Nothobranchius furzeri: one gene and its partners. The protein of the gene in region 1 binds, or shares a complex with, the protein of each later gene. Links are inferred from orthologs where the notes say so. Each region holds a gene or a part of one and is shown in the gene's direction. Other genes may lie near its edges.

The links.
Region 2: smarcc1a (region 1) and smarcd3b share a complex: the UniProt entries of both Homo sapiens proteins name them as parts of the BAF complex. The link is inferred for Nothobranchius furzeri from reciprocal best matches to the Homo sapiens genes SMARCC1 and SMARCD3.
Region 3: smarcc1a (region 1) and dpf3 share a complex: the UniProt entries of both Homo sapiens proteins name them as parts of the BAF complex. The link is inferred for Nothobranchius furzeri from reciprocal best matches to the Homo sapiens genes SMARCC1 and DPF3.

The regions. Positions count from the first base shown.
Region 1 is NC_091745.1:65,008,964-65,015,166, forward strand, and holds part of smarcc1a (SWI/SNF complex subunit SMARCC1), read left to right. Parts: intron 1-92; coding exon 93-212; intron 213-292; coding exon 293-378; intron 379-617; coding exon 618-699; intron 700-798; coding exon 799-891; intron 892-1,003; coding exon 1,004-1,073; intron 1,074-1,334; coding exon 1,335-1,404; intron 1,405-1,627; coding exon 1,628-1,703; intron 1,704-2,040; coding exon 2,041-2,166; intron 2,167-3,978; coding exon 3,979-4,097; intron 4,098-6,203. UniProt on the Homo sapiens protein: Involved in transcriptional activation and repression of select genes by chromatin remodeling (alteration of DNA-nucleosome topology).
Region 2 is NC_091747.1:45,528,074-45,534,276, reverse strand, and holds part of smarcd3b (SWI/SNF-related matrix-associated actin-dependent regulator of chromatin subfamily D member 3b), read left to right. Parts: intron 1-1,695; coding exon 1,696-1,738; intron 1,739-3,451; coding exon 3,452-3,574; intron 3,575-3,672; coding exon 3,673-3,798; intron 3,799-4,716; coding exon 4,717-4,812; intron 4,813-6,203. UniProt on the Homo sapiens protein: Involved in transcriptional activation and repression of select genes by chromatin remodeling (alteration of DNA-nucleosome topology).
Region 3 is NC_091742.1:25,623,458-25,629,660, forward strand, and holds part of dpf3 (zinc finger protein DPF3), read left to right. Parts: intron 1-1,437; coding exon 1,438-1,545; intron 1,546-4,514; coding exon 4,515-4,648; intron 4,649-4,840; coding exon 4,841-4,936; intron 4,937-5,965; coding exon 5,966-6,038; intron 6,039-6,203. UniProt on the Homo sapiens protein: Belongs to the neuron-specific chromatin remodeling complex (nBAF complex).

The DNA.
Region 1 (6,203 bases):
TTGTAATATATATGTGTTCATTTTCAGATGCTTTCCTGTTTCTTTGTCAGTGATGCATGTAAATGATTCAATGATTATGGTTTTTTTTTCAGTATGTTCAGAATGACTCCCCCTCCAGCAAATCACTGGGAGGCTTGGTGGTGCAGCTGCTGCAGTTCCAAGAGGATGCATTTGGACGGAGGGTCAACAATCCAGCTCTTACCAAGCTACCTGTAAGCACACCTTCTTTGCAGAACCAAAAGCTATCATAATGTCTGTGTCTTGAATCTCTTTGTTTATCTTCTCTCTTCAGGCCAAGTGTTTCCTGGACTTTAAGGCTGGAGGGGCTCTCTGTCACATCTTGGGCTCGGTTTATAAGTTTAAAAGTGAACAGGGCTGGTGAGTGGATTTATTTTTAACTTCAAAACTGGTATGACCCAAACTTAACCTCTTTGATTGTTTTGAACCAGTGGTTTAGCAGAATTTAACTCTTTGGTTACACCAGTACCACGAACTGAACATCTTGTAAAATGTGACAAAATTCATACTGCATGAAATCAAAAGGATATTCAACTTTTAGTCAGTTGTGTGTTCGTCTTAAAACTAATTTGGTTTTGCTTTATGAACTCTACTCTTAGGCGAAGATTTGATTTGCAGAATCCCTCAAGGATGGACAGAAATGTGGAGATGTTCTTAAATGTTGAGAAGAACCTGGTTCAGGTATGAGCATCCCAGTCTGAACACAGACTTTTTGTCTTCTATATATTTGACCTCTGCATGGGTAACGTCTGGTTTTATCGATGGTTTGTGTTTTTGTAGAATAACTGCTTGACGCGACCTCTGGTCTACCTGTCTTCGGAAATAGAGCAAAAACAAGCGAGTAAGCTCAAAGACATCGTCAAAAGGCACCAGGTGAGTTCACTTCAAACCAGGAAATAAAAACAGTTTATTTTTTTATGTATTTTTATTATGACTAGCATGAACGTCTTTGTCTTTTCAATTATCTAACTTTGTTTCTCTTCAGGGCTCCACCACCGAGGATAAGTCAAAGGCCACCCACCACATTTATCCTTCTCTTCAGCAGCAGGAAGAAGGTTGGTTTATAACTTTTGTGACTTTGTGCATACATTTTATGATGTATGTTTGAACTTGGGTGTTATTGTTCCTTGCTGATCTGACTCATTTATAGTGTGATCTCTATCCCATCAAACACATCTAGATCAGAATAAAGATCATTTAGCTCCGTTTATGGAGGCTTTATTTAGCTGATCTTCTTGAAAATGGGAATTTTTTGTCACAGCACGGATAAAATCTTCGCTAATTGCTGAAGTTGTGCTGGGGGTTGTGTTTTTCAGAAGAGTGGCTACGTCCTGTGATGAGGAAAGACAAGCAGGTGCTTGTTCACTGGGGCTTTTCCCCTGACAGGTAATCAGAAAGGATCACAGAGAGACTCGGACATGCTTTTCTTTATTGTGGATATGTTTTTACTCTGCAGGAGTATTTCTCTAAAGTTATTCAGTTTCTATTTTTATTAGTAATTTAAAAAACACTAAATCTAATGTCAGAGACATTTTTGCCAAGTTTTTTGTTTTGAAATCACCCAGATTAACCACCTTACTGATCCTGTGTCTGTTATGTATTTTACCAGCTACGACACCTGGGTGGCAGCTGGTGAGGTGGACGGAGACGTTGAAGACCCTCCCAGTGCTGACCGACCCTGGAAGGTGGAGCACCCTCTACCAAAATGATCTGTTTAGCACTGAAGATTTCATAAATAGACACACAAGCGTAAAACTAGCCTGGCTGCTCAGAAAACTTTTTTTTCTGGAAAAAACATGTAAATCTAGATATTGGTATTAACCCTTCTGATGTGTGGAAAACATAACTTTTTAGAATTAATTATTTTCAATAATTTAATGACTGCATCCTATTTGTATTGTAAATTGATTTAATCATTTTTGGTGTCCGTGAAGCTTTTCTCCTGTGATGCTTCACAGCAGTAAACACTGAGTTATTGTTTTTTTAACCACCACCCTTTCTCTCCATATACTTTTATGTCAGGTTCATGCCAAATGGGTTTCAGACACCGATGCCTTCAATGAGTGGATGAATGAAGAGGACTACGAGGTGGACGAGAACAAGAAGCCAGTCAGCTTCCGACAGAAGATTTTCCCTAAAGAGGAGGAGGTAGCTGTTTGATGCAGATTTTAATAAATGTACCTCAGAGTCACAGAGGTCAGGAACAACGTCCTGATTATATCACATGTAATTGTTTTTGAGTGATGTTATATTCTGTTGCAAGCTTGTGTTTTGTTGCGTTTAGCTTTGCCTTGTAGGTTGTTCTCTGTCGTCTTCCTTCGTCCACGTCCGGTTCCGTTTCTTACTCATCCTTTTCAAACCTTTCCTCACATTTTGTGTCCTTTAAATACTTTTCAGGGTTCCTGTCTGTGTTAAGAGGGAGTGTTTATTAAAGCAACACTAAAGAAGTTTCCCACTTCTCCCTCCTACTGGTTTAAAGTGGAGTTACAACTGTCGTTAACAACTACGGTTCAACACCAATACTTACCCCGGCTTTCCACAGGAGCCGTCAGCAGCACGTCATAGCTGCTGATAGGAACCGCTGTGGTCAACAGAACCTTTTCCACCGGAGCCGTCAGCAGCGCGAGTCGGCCGCGTCTCAGGAGCAGCATGTCGCGGCCTTTACGCGCCGGTTCTATTTTCTACGCGCGACGCCTCTGAAACGGGTCAAGTTCGAAATTTTTGGGGAAGGAAAGACAGGAAATCGGACGCGGAAATGGAGAGAAGCTCCCGAGATTTTCAGAATAAAGAACGTACTGCCTTCCGTTTGCTTTACTTTTAAAAAAGGTTACTAACTGTGCGGCCCCGTGAGAAGTTATCACCTAGCTAGCGGTCTCCTTTGTTTTTCAGGTCCGTATTGGTGATTATAAAACGGACAGAACATAAAACGCAAACCATGTTGTAGTTTTCTCCTGCTTGTTGTTGTGTTTACTGACGAAGTCACTCGTGTGACTTCGTGCTCGGTCGGTGACAGCTGCTCCCCTGCTGCTTCGCGCCTCGTGGGAAGGGCCAAGCAGCAGGTTACGCGAGCAAGACGTGCTGCTGCAGTAATGTGCTGCTGACGGCTCCCGTGGAAACCCGGGGTTAGACTGTGGCCTACGATTTTCTGTAAAGTACACGTTGAGGAAGTGCACAGTAGGGGCTCGAGTGTGTAGTACACAAGTGTGCCAAATTGGGACATGGAGCATTGTGTCATCTACAGTGACACATGCTGGTTGCTTCTTATGCTATTTAAAAAAATAATAATCTTAATTAACTTTCTAACAATTATTTGACAAAATTTACATTCATTGCTGTCCACATTAAATTTTAGTCTAAAACATTTAGAGCATGAATAAATATAGTTATTCGCCCGGAAATTAACTTCTTTCTTGAAAATACATATTTTCAGAAAAGAGACTTGAGCCATTGATCCGCCTTCTTTTGAAAATTCCCGTGCAGCAATGGATTGTGGGTAATGCAAAAGTGCGAAGCAAGGGCAAAAGGGGCACCCTACGCACTGGACACCCCTGGACAGGACAAGGCCTGCTGTAGCTATTGCTAACAGCGAGCTAATGCAAGCACGAGCTAACTGATTCCAAATGAGCCACAAAATAAAAAGATTCACTCTGTTGGACAAAAAATATTATAACTTACAATTCCAGTAGATACAAAGCCAGGTCACCATCAGTGATTTCACAGAAACCTGTTTATGACAAAGTAACACATTACACCACATTGAACTAGTGTTTTCTAGTGCGTTAGTGTACAGGAACCCTGATTGTGTCTTCCACCCAACAAAACATCCTCTCCCCTACCTGCTGTTGTTATCCCGCTGCTTCCCCTCCTTGTGTGTGCAGCCGTTCCATCCTCTCATTCTGTGGCTCTTTCTCTCATCCTCCATCCCTCGCTCCCTGTGCTGCTCGGGGTTTGTCTGATCAGTCTTCCCGTACACCTGATCGCAAGGAGCGCAAGGCAAACTCTGCTGGCAAGAAGAGGAGACGCTCGCCCTCGCCGCCCAGCACTCCCGCCGAATCCCGCAAGAAGGGAGGGAAGAAAGGGTAAGAAGGCCAATTTGATATCTTAGCTTTTAAAAAATTTATCAAAGATCTGTACCGTTGTTACTTAAGGGTCAATATACATTTGTTTTTAAATCATGTGTTACTCGGTATGCTTGTTTTTCTACATTTTAAGGAAAGAAACTAGGGCTGCTCAATTATTCGAATTTTAATCCCAATTACGATTTGAGTTTTGAGCGATTATTAAAAACAAAACAAGCTGATTATTTCGGGGTATCCACGGGTCTTTAAAAAGTCTTAAATTTGCTTTTCCAAATTTGAGGCCCTAAAAGTCCTTAAAAATTACAAATAATCCTTAAGTACAGTTTCCAAAGGTCTTAAATTACCAAATACCCAATTTTATTTCTATAAAATTTTCATGAATTTCTAGTTAGTGTTCAGCATTTTTTGTGTATGATGTTGGCGTAAGCGGAGCCGTACACATTCAGTTGGTTGTGAAAGGGGGCTATTTTTAGATGAGCACATTAGCTGGTTAAGCTAGTGGGAGCTTGCGCCATGGGGAAGTGCAAGTTTAATGGTAACTGGATGGCTAATCCCACGTTCGCGACGTGGTTAGCACCGGTTCCAGGCAATGGCTGGAAATTAGTTTTAATTTTTAAAAATAGCTTAAATTTTTGTCAAGGTGGCCTTAAAAATGGTCTTAAAGTCTTAAATTTGGCTCCCTTAAACCTGCAGATACCCTGTTATTTGCTCCTCCCTCTTGTGCTGCTCCAAGTTGCAAATCAAGCGCTCCTCCCACAGTGTTGCCAACTTGGCGACTTTGTTGCAATTTCCAACAGCTTTTCAGACCCCCATCTTGACTTTTTGAATCTTAAAAGTGCCTAGTGATAAACCCAGAAACATTTCTGATAACCCTTGGCTACTACCGTCGTTGGCATTTCCTGCACGTTAGCAAAACACTCTGCCTGCGCTCCGGACCGGTCCTTCAGGACATTAGGAAAGGGAATGATGTTGTGATGTTGGTCGCAAAAGAAACGGCTCTCAGAGGCGGCTCCCTCTTGAATTAACCAGAGTGAGTGACACACACACTGTACCTGCAGGCTCCTGAGCCGCTAAAAACGGCAAAATGTGCATGTGTGGCGCGCTAAACTCACGCAGCTTGCCCCTGCCTGCTGTGAGGCCGGGTGGGGGGTTGCAGCACACCTCCGATCGCTGTGGCTGGGACAGTTATTACATTAACTGATGCGACCTGTAAATAAATAGTTTATAAACAAGGTAGAAATAGATAGAAATAAGTTCCTTGCTGATAAATGATGTCTATGAGGACACGTTGCTAGTGTACACTCCCCTACAGCACCGCTTGACGGGACTAAATAAATATTATGCAAAATTTTGTGAACGTAACTAAAACACATATGTTTATCTGTTTTTTATTTGTTAAAAATGCCACGGTATGATTCCTGCTGCCAGTATTTGCAAGAAGCTGGATGGATATGTGGGTCTGTACTGGTCAGGCTTAAATGAGTTAAACCTCAGCCCTTTGGGTCATAAATAATGAGCAACTATATTGGCCTTTACATACTAGGACTCAGGAGTTGTTTTAGTGATCATCTTGTTAATTTCTTTTTCGTATTTACTTTTGTCCTGATTGTGCCCCGAGCAATTTTATGACTGAATAAAGAAACAAACTAATAAAATTAACAATAATTGAAAAATCATCTTAAATAATCGAGATCACAATTTCAGTTACAATAATCGTGATTATCATTTTTGCCATAATCGAGCAGCCCTAAAAGAAACTGTTACGGGGTTCTGCAGAGGCAGCGAGGCACCTTGAATTGTCTCTGTGTAAAATATGCTGTATAAATAAAACTGCCATGCATTATAACAGCCATTGAGGTGACACAGATATTCCAGATCACAAGCTTCTCGTGAATTATTAATTATTAGAGCTGCAGATTTCTCAGTTTGATTCCAATGTTTTCAACAGTCTGACCTGCTGAGTTCTGGTTCTGTTTCATTTCTCCTCCTACATCCGTCACTGGCAGCTTATTAAATGATGTTTCTGATGAAATGCTGCGCTGTCGGCATGTTCATCCATACCAGGAGGGATTTAACCCTTTCCTGTTTGACTAACCATAAAACTAA
Region 2 (6,203 bases), on another chromosome or scaffold:
GAGGAAGTCCCGCTGGCACGTTAAGAAGGGGATGGCTGCTGACCCACAGATTCATACCTGCAGCAGCAAATCTGGTGTGACCTCCAGCCTGATCACAACTTTCTCGTTCCTCGCTGCCCTGATGCACTTAAACATCCGCCCCTTAAGCTCCCGATAAGCTTTAGACCGTTTTGTGATGGTATGCATGCGATATTTAGACACTCACTTGTCTCAGAAACATATGATAAACTGACAGAATTGTTTAGAAAATTATCAGAAAGATTTTAGGTTGTTTCTGTCACTTTAAGACACATTGTTGGTGATTGTTTACAGAGGAGTGAGAACACGGAGCATTTTCCCAGTTGCAGCCAGGTGCCTCTTGTTTGCCTGACTAGTTTCATAAACTACTATTCTTGTCTGGTGCTTTCAGCGCTGCACAAACGTTAAATAAATGTTAAAAAAATAGCCTAGCTCGATTTTTGTAAAGCTTCCGGTGCCACCGGGCAGCAGCAGCAGAGACCATCTCTGAAAAATGTTCTCGACGCAGACGCCGTAATTGTCAGGAAGTAATTATTTTTTTGTACAAGTTACGAGAAGAGGCTGATGTGTTTCCTAAATCCTGCATCAGTCCAACCAAGGCAATTTCTTTCCATTTTTATTCCTTTTAGCAGCCGTAGACAGAGCACTGTGTTGTGTGTGTCAGTGATATTCAGTCTACGAGGAAATCCTGCAATGACAAAGATTCCGCCTTGCTTGAATTGCAAGCTGTGATTAAATGCGTGAATTTTTTTACATGTCTTTTTTTTCTAACTAATTAATCATAATTAACGCGTTAAAGTTCCACCCCTACTTTATTTACATGCTGCTTGTAGCTTGTGACACAGTGGAATACGTCACATGGTCCCGTCTGAGGTCGTTTCTGTAACGCTTAAATAGTGCCCCACATATTGAACTTTTAGTACACTCAAAAAACAGTTTTCTGATCAGTATTCTGATTTGCTCACACTGCAGCGCAATTGTTTCCAATCAGTGTCTTTTTTTTAGCATGAACAGACTCAACATCATGTTAAAGACATTCAAATAAATTAAACTTTCTAATTCGAGAAGAGGCTACCCTTTTGTTTTCTAATCAATGTCCAACGGGAAAAAAAAGATTCTGATAAAATTTCAGAAATTAAAGAACACGTATTGTCCGTCTCTGGTGAGTATGAAAGAATTTTAAAAAGTAAGTGCTTGGAAGTCATGAATGGAGTGAAAACTTGCGTCTTTTTAAATGAAAACAACAGTGAAGACTGAATTCCTGAAAAGCTTTATTAAACACATCCTGTCTACCTGCAGCATCAGTGACCCTATAGTGTGTGTGTGTGTGTGTGTGTGTGTGTGTGTGTGTGTGTGTGTGTGTGTGTGTGTGTGTGTGTGTGTGTGTGTGTGTGTGTGTGTGTGTGTGTGTGTGTGTGTGTGGCAGAAGATGTGTGACTTGACACTTTGTTGGCTGTAGAGGCTCACTCTCTCCAGGTGGACCGCTGCATTTCAGAGAACACACGGACAGAGAAACACACACACACACACACACACACACACACACACAGCTGGGAGGCTGGGGTGCTGGATATGGCCCAGCATTTTAGCAGATGGCCTGGGTGCTACGCTATCAGTCACCATAGTAACATGCTCTCTTTTTCCTCTTTCTCTCTGTCTTTCTCTCCTTGTCTGTAGTGCTAAGAGAAGGAAAATGGCAGACAAGATTCTTCCGCAAAGGGTGAGGCTGCATGTATTTATCTTTGTTGTGTTTCTGTATCCTTTTACCTTTTGTCTGCAAAGCAGAAAGATCCTGGTCGCCTTTTCGATGCCCGGGGTCCTGAGGCGGCGCCAGGGGCCGGATGATAATTTGTTATTTCCAAAATAAGAAGGGATGGGTGGAGTGGAGAAGAGTTTTCAGGGTGTTTGTTGTTTAAAATTGAAGTGGTTGTTTGGGTGTGTCAAGAGATGCAGACATGAGTGGGATAGAAACAAGTCGCAGGTGAGTTGGTGGCGTTTGCAGGTTGTGATTTTCTTCCTGTAGCATCAGGTTTTTAACCGCATCCTGTAAGAGAGAGGGGTGAGTCTGCTGAGCTCTGGGCGTCTATGTTCAGGTCTTATCCTCTGACGTTACCCTGACAGAGAGATAGCAGAAGTCATGGCATGGGGTGGCACTCCACTACAATGAGTCAGGCATGGGGAATGTCTTCCACACTTCTCCGCCGGCTCGGCACCTCGGCCCGGTAAAGAGACGCAGATAGAGGAGGAATGAATGGAACAATGAAGGCAGGCTCTCAGGAAGAAAGATGAAAGAAGCTGGAGGGAGGGTGAGGAGCTGTAGGAGCAGTGTGCAGCAGCCCGCCATGCTTGGTGGACTTTCATCTGTATGGTAATGTTGGAGTCCTGGCTGTTTGTCTGCAAAAACTGAATCTCATTTTAATCCCCTCATGCCTGTTAAACACACACGACGGCTTCTACTAAAGCTTTTTATTTCCATGCAACCTCATTAAAGTGCTTTAAATGTGTGGGACACTTATTTAATCATTACATTTGCAGTGATCTATAGCAGGAATGAATGCTCTGTAAGTCCTGCTCGGTGGAGAAAAAAAGCACAGATGCGCCTGTTTCATGAACCACCAGAATGCCACATCAGTGGACAGCTTAACACGGCGGTATTTAGAGTCTTACTTCCTGATATTTGGACATCTCGCCTCTGATTGGCTAACAGCAACATGACTCTACCACTGTTTGCTTTGCAATGTGGATGTTTTATCTCCACAAATAACACAAGCCTGGAGGAGATCAGCTGTGTTGTGGAGTTGCTAATGCTAACAGTTAGCTTCTATCAGCCGAGGCGTTCTCTGCTGTTTCTTGGATGCTAAACCGCCAACAGCCTTCAATCTAAAAAAAAAATTCCTAATAACATCTGGCTGAATCTATCGCGATATATGTGGTATATCATGCCAGCAATACACATGCCTAGTCTCTCATTAAATTAGCTGCATACACATGCTTAACCTTACAACATGTTAGGGATTAAGTGCTAATTGCTGCTAATCTAGCCTATTAACACAGTTCAAGCACTCAATTTGACTACTTTAATTAAACGCCTGTCAAATCAGACTGATTATACATACATAGTTTATTGATTTGGATGCAAGATACTGATTGTCTACAAATATTACTGACACTTGCAGCTAAGCACTAAAGGTGTGTGATGTAAAGTTTATGACATTACTAAAAACTGCAAAGGTTTTATCTCTTTTTATCGTTTGATAAAAATAACTATTTTTACTGTAGTAACTAAGATGTGTTAGCTAATATGTGTTGAATATTTAAGCTAACACGAATCAGCTAACACACTCAATTTTTATTTTTAACGAAAAAATCTGACTTTTTCATTCCTGTTAGGTTCTGATTAAAATGTTCCTAAAGTGTCTTCCTTCCTGCGCAGATCCGTGAGCTGGTACCAGAATCTCAGGCCTACATGGATTTGCTAGCCTTTGAGCGCAAACTGGACCAGACAATCATGCGTAAACGCGTGGACATCCAGGAGGCGCTGAAGAGACCGATGAAGGTAAAACCAGAAGAAAAAGATCTGATCGGGATGGTGGAGTGGACCTCCTCGGGCGATTTCATACTAACCTGTTTTCTTTAATGTTCCATTTGTGTCAGCAGCAAAAGCGTAAATTAAGGCTCTATATTTCTAACACCTTCAACCCGGCTCGACCCGACGCGGACGACTCAGATGGCAGCATTGCATCATGGGAACTGAGAGTTGAGGGCAAGCTGCTGGAAGATGTGAGGATTTTCATGTATTCTCAGCAGGGTTTGAATTACACACAGTCTTCTGGGGGAGCCCCGTTTCCTTGGGTGGGGGGGCTGTTGTCCGTCCGATCACCTTCATTATTGCGCCATCGGGGGGGGGGGCTAGATCACTTTTGAGGTTACCTCGGGATGTGTCAGTTGAGGGCTTCTGGGGGAGCCTATCACCTTTTCAGGGGAGCCGAGCTCCCCCTAGCTCCCCCGTGATTCGAACCCTGATTCTCAGACATTTTTAGTTAACTTTGGAGTTTTATTTCAGAGGGCACCGTCTAGAGGAGGAAAAGTGTATTGCACCACAAGCCCCTCTCTATTCTCGTGATCACAGCTAGAAGCAACACCTCTCGTTTGTTAAAGCACACCTTTAGCTAGCCAACAGAGGTAAAACACAATTATTATTCTCTGCACCAGTCTAGGTACGTCGTCCAACTCATGCGCCCACTTGGTGATGGTGCATGTCTAACGCTTCAAATTGCATGGGGCTCTATGGAACGGGGGGGGCTGGCTCCAATGTAAAACTATCATTTTTACTAATTTCTAAAAGATCATACGGTATATAATTCCTGAAAGAGGGAAAACTCTGAATTGCTGCTTTAAAGAACTGGTTTTAGGAGTGTTTAGAGATGACAGTAATTAGTTCTGAGCCGTAGGAGCTGATGATGTCAGCAGCAAAGTGCGCGAAAGTTTCAGAAACCAAAAATTTTTCAGGTTAGGTCCAGAGGAAGTGGGTTCTTTATACGTCTGCTCACTGTTTTAATGTGATCTCACTCAGCTGCTCGTGGTTTCTTACACCTTATGAAGCTAAAAACAAAGTGCATCTATTCATCTATATTTGTGAGTCCACCCACACGTGCACACAGCCGATCCTAACCCACCACCTCTCGTCTGTCCCAACAGCCCGGGAAGCAGAAGAAGAAGTTCTCCTCGTTTTTTAAGAGCTTGGTGATCGAGTTGGACAAAGATCTGTATGGGCCAGACAACCACCTGGTGGAGGTCTGCACAAACACCCCAACACTACTGCCTGCCACCCACCGCCTCAAAAATAACTAAATAAATAAAACACACAAACTCACCTTCAAGCAGCATCTTTTGGATGAATCTTTAACCCCGCTGGGTTAAAAGGTGACTCAAAATAAATCTGAGAGCTTCTTATTAACATTTTACCTCCATTTCAACGACGTCAGATCTAACGGACACTAAACTTTTCACAACACCTCTGTTTTTACCCCTCAAAGTGAAATATGAAAGCAGCGTCAGAAGGTGGTCAGTCTGACGGGGAGTCTAAAGGAAGTCAAGAAATAGTTCAGCTTATAACACCCTCCTAAAACCGCAGCTTATTAGCTTTCCACTTCACTTAAAGTAAATGTGAAACAAATGACAGCTGGGTGTCTGTCTGGGCTCTCTTGACTGTTTTAAGGTAAAAATGCTATTTTTGGTAGCTAGCCACCTTAAAATGTAGAATAAATCAGAATAAGATAACTTTTTATGTGTAAACAAAGCTTTTTTGGAAAAATTTAGCCAAATTCTCCATGTTTTCAAAAACTGATGCTACTTTTCGCCTGATTTTGACATTCTTCCTGAACAGTTTGTTCCGTTGCTAGTAAAGAGCTTTTCTCTGCTGCACAAATCACTAAAGCCGTTCAGTCAAGGTCGACGTCCCAACATTTTGTCTCGTCTGGCTAAATCTTCAGGAACACCGATCCCGCTTTGGCTGAACATGAAATTAAACAGAAACACGAGGCTGTTCAAACATGCTAATGAAGAAACCGGCTGCTTTATTTTAAACAACCAGCTGCTGCTCTTCACCTTACATAAAAATGTTCCGACGTGTTTTATGAAATCCACTTCAGGAGATTCGGAGTGGAAATCGCGTCCTCTCAGGGTTTCATCTTTTTAACCCAGCGCTCAGGTGCTTCGCTTTGAACCGTTTTCAATCAAAAGAATTCAGCTTTCCACCCTGAGACGCATTCAGGGTTTGATCTGTTGGGGAGCGTGTCAGCTGACACGGAAGGGACGGAAAATCCACACGTCAATGTTTCTGAAGATTTAAATAATAGGTGTTTTAGTTATTTAACACCTTGCTAGCTAATGTAAGCCAATAATATTTAAAATATGCAGTCTAATTTTGCACTCTGACTCCGGTTATTTAGCCAGGTGGTTAAACCTCTGCTCTCCTGAGGGTTTGCTTTCCGTGCATGGCTGCTTTGCAGATATTTAACCTTTCACCAAACACAGCGCTCCCTGTCAGCGCGGGCGCTCCACGCTCAAACGACCTCCTCCAGTGGTTTTATTTAGTCTGTGTTCAAGTCTTCTTATAAAAATACGATCATAATTAGACTCAAGATGCGTTTATTATCACCACTTAGTCAGTGCAGAATCAAATA
Region 3 (6,203 bases), on another chromosome or scaffold:
TGAAGTTTTTTGGGCACTTCTAATTGGGAGGAGATCGAAAGGAAAACCCAGGACACGCCGAAGGGACTATGTCTCACGGCCGGCCAGGGAATGCCCTAAAAGGTACAAAAAGTCCCTAAAGAAGTGTTGATCACCAGTTCAAAAGCTTGTTCGGGTTCATCTGAAACAAAATCTAAAGAAATGAGGGATGACTTTAACACTTGTAAATATGCATCCATTTCTTCAATAAGATCAGACTCTGATGTCTCAGAAATGGTTTTTCTTTGATTTATCGAGCAGTCGAGACTTTTTACGCACGTGCGGTTCATCTGAGAAGCCAAAGGGAACAATCATGCTTTTTTCTGAGACCTGAACAGAAATAGCCCGCTCTCCATCTCCATGCAAAGTCCTTCAGGCCACACCCTATACTTTGTGGCAGACCTAACACACATGATATGCATTTATTCTGGGCTTATTCCTCCCCCAACTTCTCCTGAGATTTTTATTTGATGCTCTACTCATGTGGACATAAAAGCTCTTCTCCTTTGCTTCTGTCTCCTAGATTATGGTTAAATGCGTAGGTAGTTCATTATTTATGAGCAGGGAGATAATTATGCTTTGCCAGAGCATTCTACGATTTTAACGTGTTTGATGAAATATTTTTTACTTACAAACAACAATGCCAAAAAAGAAAAAAAAAACTAAAATTAAATCTTTGTTTCTTTAACCAAACAAGTAATTTATCTGAAATAAAATAGCACCATGTTTAACAGGAATGCCCCCAAACCTATTATTCCCATCTAAGGAAATTAATTTGAAGGCTGAGAATTATTTATTTATTTATTTTAAACAGTCTTGGATTATTTAGGAGACCAAATATCACACATTATATGCTAACATAAGTCCTGCAATTTGTCAGGACCAACCAAACAGGCTAACGTCCAGCCAATCACGTATTGTGACGTAAACGGCAGCTCCCTCAGCTGATCTGAGAGCCTGAGTACATCTGATACCCCTGCATTAATTCCATGTAGATTTTGGTGTTATGCAAAAATGCTAAATGTGTGAAAATTAAAAAAACTTTGCTTAAAAAATCTTTGAGTCAACTATTATGAAATTTTGAGCAGTTTGATCTTTGCTTTGCTCTGGCTAGCCAATTGTTCATCAGTCAATTTGGATATACACTTTGTTTCTCCATACTGATGTTCAGGAAAAGTGAGATAGTAGCAATGTCTTTAAGTACAAGGCCTGTCCGTGGACCAGTGTACGTGCATGCGTGGGTTTGTGTGTGTGTGTGTGTGTGTGTGTGTACAAAACTCAATGGAGGGTTTGTTACCCTTGCCAGTAGGTTTTGAAATTCTTCCAGTGTGCCCATGTCTCTCCTCGCGCTCGTGTGTGTGTGTGTGTGTGTGTGTGTGTGAAATCTTATAATCCTGTTGCATACGTGTGTTTTTTCAGGCCAGGCTGCAGGACAGATGTATACGTACCCTGCTCGTTGCTGGAGAAAGAAGAGGCGACTCCACCCTCCCCTGGATCCCCAGCTCCGCCTGTGTGAGCTTCGTCTAGGTAAGACAAGACAAACAACATACAGGCACATTGCTGCACCGAACACACACACACACACACACACACACACACACACACACACACACACACACACACACACACACACACACACACACACACACACACACACACACACACACACACACACACACACACACAAAAAGATGGTTTTGACACACCGTTGCACAAATAAAACCACTTTAACTCATGCATTGTTTCACCTTTGCAAACTAATGTCAATTTAATAGAAATGTTCATCATTTCTCTCAGGATTGGGCCATCTGGCTCTGGTTATCCCATCTCTCACACCAGGTCTCCAGGTTCATTCGCTCCCCTGAATCAATCCCCCCTCTTGCTGTTCTGTGGCTGCATGCACACACTTTATACTAACACCCCCCACATGTGACTCTTTCTCCCCGCTGCAGCTCAGAAGCACCCTTAGTAGGCCTCAATAGTAATTTATTCACAAGACAATGACATGTGAGTCGTATGAAGTGGCAGCATTGCTTTATGATGTGCATCCGTGCATGCTTACAGTTTTTGTTAGAGGGTTTAAGCAAAGGAATGCTCAGGAACCTGATAAGATGGTGGATAAAGGCATAGCTTTGTTTCTGCTTTCCTCATCCATTGTTTCACCCCTCGCTCTCTTCCAGACGCAATATAATACTCCAGAGCTTTCTGCAAAGAATGATTCCTTTTTAAGTTGAGGAAAGAGAGCTGCAACCTAAGTGCATGACAGAAAATCTCTACAGCTTAAAGCGAGGAGATGGAGCTTTTTCTGTTTTGTTGTTTCGTTTTGCAGGTTGACCCAAATATCTACAATAACACCATGGGGATGTGAATACTCTCCTTTGTTTTGTTCGATGGTTGATGTTTATTTAATGCATCCTGTGCAGAGGTTTGTCTGTGTGCACAGATGCACAGAGGAGCTGTCATGAAACAGTGGTTTTCTTTATGCTTTGCTCTGAGCTTTTAGTGTCAGCAGCTTTTCTTAAAATAAACCTAAGTGATGTAAAACTCGAACTAAAGCTTGAAATGGCCATCACTGTTAGGGTATACAATGAGGATTTAAACAAAATTGGCATAAATACAATACATTTACTGTAGAAATAGCCAGATGTTGTTGTTTTAAAATGAATTATTTTATATTTGGTGGCATTAAAAAAAATCTTGGAACAAGTGCAACAACAATCTGCAATATTTTTGGTGAATAATAAAAACAAATCAGTCTCACAGCTTTTGTGGGCAAAATTAGCATCATTTTAAGATATTGGCGATGAAACTGACTTCAGAGAAAAAAATAAAAAATCGGTCAGTCAATCAATCAATCAATCAATCAATCAATCAATCATCAATCAATCAATCAACAAATCAACCAACTAACCAACCAACAATCAATAAATCAACAAATCAACCAACTAACCAACCAATCAATCAATCAATCAACCAACTAACCAACCAACAATCAATCAATCAACCAATCAATCAATCAATAAATCAATCAACCAACCAACCAACCAATCAACAAATCAACCAACCAATCAACAAATCAACCAACTAACCAACCAACCAACAACCAATCAACAAATCAACTAACAAATCAACCAACTAACTAACCAACCAACAATCAATCAATCAATCAATCAATCATTGACCCAACATAAAACCTCTCTTCCCCACCCAGAAATTTTAATTATGATCACATCTATTGTGGTGAAGTAGGAGCTGAGCCAGAAAGCCAGGCTCTCGATTTACCGGTCGATCTACGTTCCTACCCTCACCTATGGTCATGAGCTTTGATTAATGACAGAAAGAACGAGATCGCGGATACAAGCAGCCGAAATGAGTTTTCTCCGTGGTGTGGATGGGCTCAGCCTTAGGGATAGGGTGAAGAGCTCTGTCATTCGGGAGAGACTTTAAGTAGAGCCACTGCTCCTCCATATCGAGAGGAGTCAGTTGAGGTGGTTTGGGCATCTTGTTACGATGCCTCCTGGACGCCTCCCTAGGGCCAGCAGGAGGCCCCCTGGCCGACCCAGGACACGTTGGAGAAAGTACATCTCCGACCTTGCCCCGGGAACGCCTTGGGGTCCTACCGGAGGAGCTGGTGGAGGTGGATAAACGGAAGACGCGATCACATTTATGTACCCCTCTTCCCCATTTATAGCCCTCAAGCACACACACAGTCATGTTAAATCTTTGTTAAACTTGGAGAAATTTTTGTTTGTAACAGACAAGATCAAGGACTGTTGACAGTTTTTACAGCAGGAAGCTCTGATATATAAGATGACACAATAAATGAAAGATTTTAATAATAAGAAGAATGAGAATAAAGATCCAGAAACAACCATTCTTCTGTGGGTCCAGACTGATGTAGAAACCTACCTTTTAAGTCATTTATGGACTCTCAATCAACTGGAAATATATATTAGATCAGTGTAATTAGAAGGGAAGGAGTATATTGGCATTAACAACTTGTCCATCTCCTGGCATACGTTAACTTTTGATCATTTTGAATCAAAACATAATTTATCACAACTTCAATATACATGGTGTTTTTTTAAATGCGACTTTATGCAACAAAAACTTCAGGGCTTGTGGTAAATATGAATAAGCATTTCATTGTTGCAGCATATTAAATGGCCAATAGCAACACATTGCTGTGTGGCGCGTTAAAGAGAAAATGTCCATGTTATAAATGCATTTTCAGTTTTTCCTTCCAATAAAAGCTTGGAACGACAAGCAGTGAAACAAAAAAATCCATTGGCTGCCATCTTTAAACACATGACTCTCTCTCTCTCTCTCTCTCTCTCTCTCTCTCTCTCTCTCTCTCTCTCTTTATATATATATATATATATATATATATATATATATATATATATATATATGTGTGTGTGTGTGTGTGTGTGTGTGTGTGTGTGTGTTATATTTTTATTTTTATAACTATTTCTATCCTTACCGTGCCTCTACAGAAGCAGAGCTGGCCCCTAAGCGTGAGGGGCCACCAGGGGAGGCCACGGCCCTGGAGGCCCTTCTGAGGAGTGACAACCTGCTGGAGAAAAAAAACAACATCGCTAAAGAAGAGGAAACTCTGCTGGAAATACAGGTTTTTGTGCATTTTTTGTATAATTCTAAAACAGGTTTAAATAATGTCAGGTTATCTATTACTAACGAAATGTGATTGCAGCATTAAAACTTGTAGAAAAGTACCTTTGCACCATGGAGCGAAGCATACCTCTGTGTTCTGCTTTGCCTGATTTTTTTTCATGCAGTGAGTTATTTTGGTCTAATCATGCAGAGAGTGCTGGAGGCGGAGGAAAACGGGGACAGTTTCCACGATGAGGATGAGTTTGAACTTGATACTCCAAAGAGAAAGAACAAGAATAGAGGAAAAGTAAGTGAACAAGACGTGAGACACCAACTCCTCTCTGAGGTTTGTGGTGTGAAGGGTAGTATGGACGCCAACAGGGAACATGTTTTGGGTGTAACATGAGAAAAACTCATCTTTGCACCATTATTTTATTTCATTTTTTGCGAAAATAGATAAAATGAGTCTAATATCTTAATTATCTTGGTTAGTTGGTTAGTTTCCGGAACTGCGCTGCTCTGGGTGGCTCCATGTTGGAGTAGCTCTGTTGACTATATGTAAGTTTTGCCTTTTTTTGGGACATTTTACTTTTCTGTTTCTGGTGCTGTGAAGCTTAGAGGATTTTTACTGCAATTTTTTCACTTTTTTCACTTTTTGAGCGTTTGTTATGATGCGTAACCATGGTTACAAGCTGGTTTACAATCGGGAGCAGCTGATTAACATTGGAAAGGCTGAAATAATACCTCAACTGAAGCCTCAAGTCCCAAATGAGCTAAAATGCAAGAAGCGTGTATGCAGAGCGGGAGCAAAACGGAAACAGAGAAAGAGGAATTTCAAACCATCTCTTCCTTCGATCATAATGGACAATGATAAATCAGGTGCTGGTCAGCATCAGAAGCAGGGACCTGAAAAGGCTCAACAGCCTAATAAAAAAGGCTGGTTCTGTTCTGGAGATGACTGTGGAACCACTGGAGGAGATAATGCAAAGAAGGATTCTCCAGAGAATCAAGAAAATGATGGACAACCCTGAGCATTCTCTTCACAAGACTGTCCGACAACGGAAGAGTGTCTTCAGTCAGAGGCTTCTTCAGTTTGGCTGCAACACCGACCGCTACTGGAGATCCTTCCTGCCAACAGCCATTGTAATATACAACAACTCTTTGATGACTAGATTATTATTATTATTCTCAGCAATCAATTTCCCCCTGGGATTAATAAAGTATTTTTGAATTGAATTGATTTGAATTAAAAAATGCATGCGTGTTGGATTTTTGTTTTAACGCTGGAACACGTGCAGGATTCCACACCTGATCGATGTTTATCGTTTCCCTCCAGAACAGAGGATCAACTCGCAGAAGGACAGAACCTGTTAATACTGATGACCAGGATAAACCTTACGTCTGTGACAGTAAGGATACAAATAGCTTGCTTTTTTTGGTCTGCTTGTCACATTATCCTGCTATTAAATTAGAGAAAAGAAGATGAGTGTTTCTCTAATCCTTTAATGATACTGTTTTATCTGTCTGGTCCTAAGAACTGGTCCTGATCTGCAGCATGAAAATAAATCCGTTTC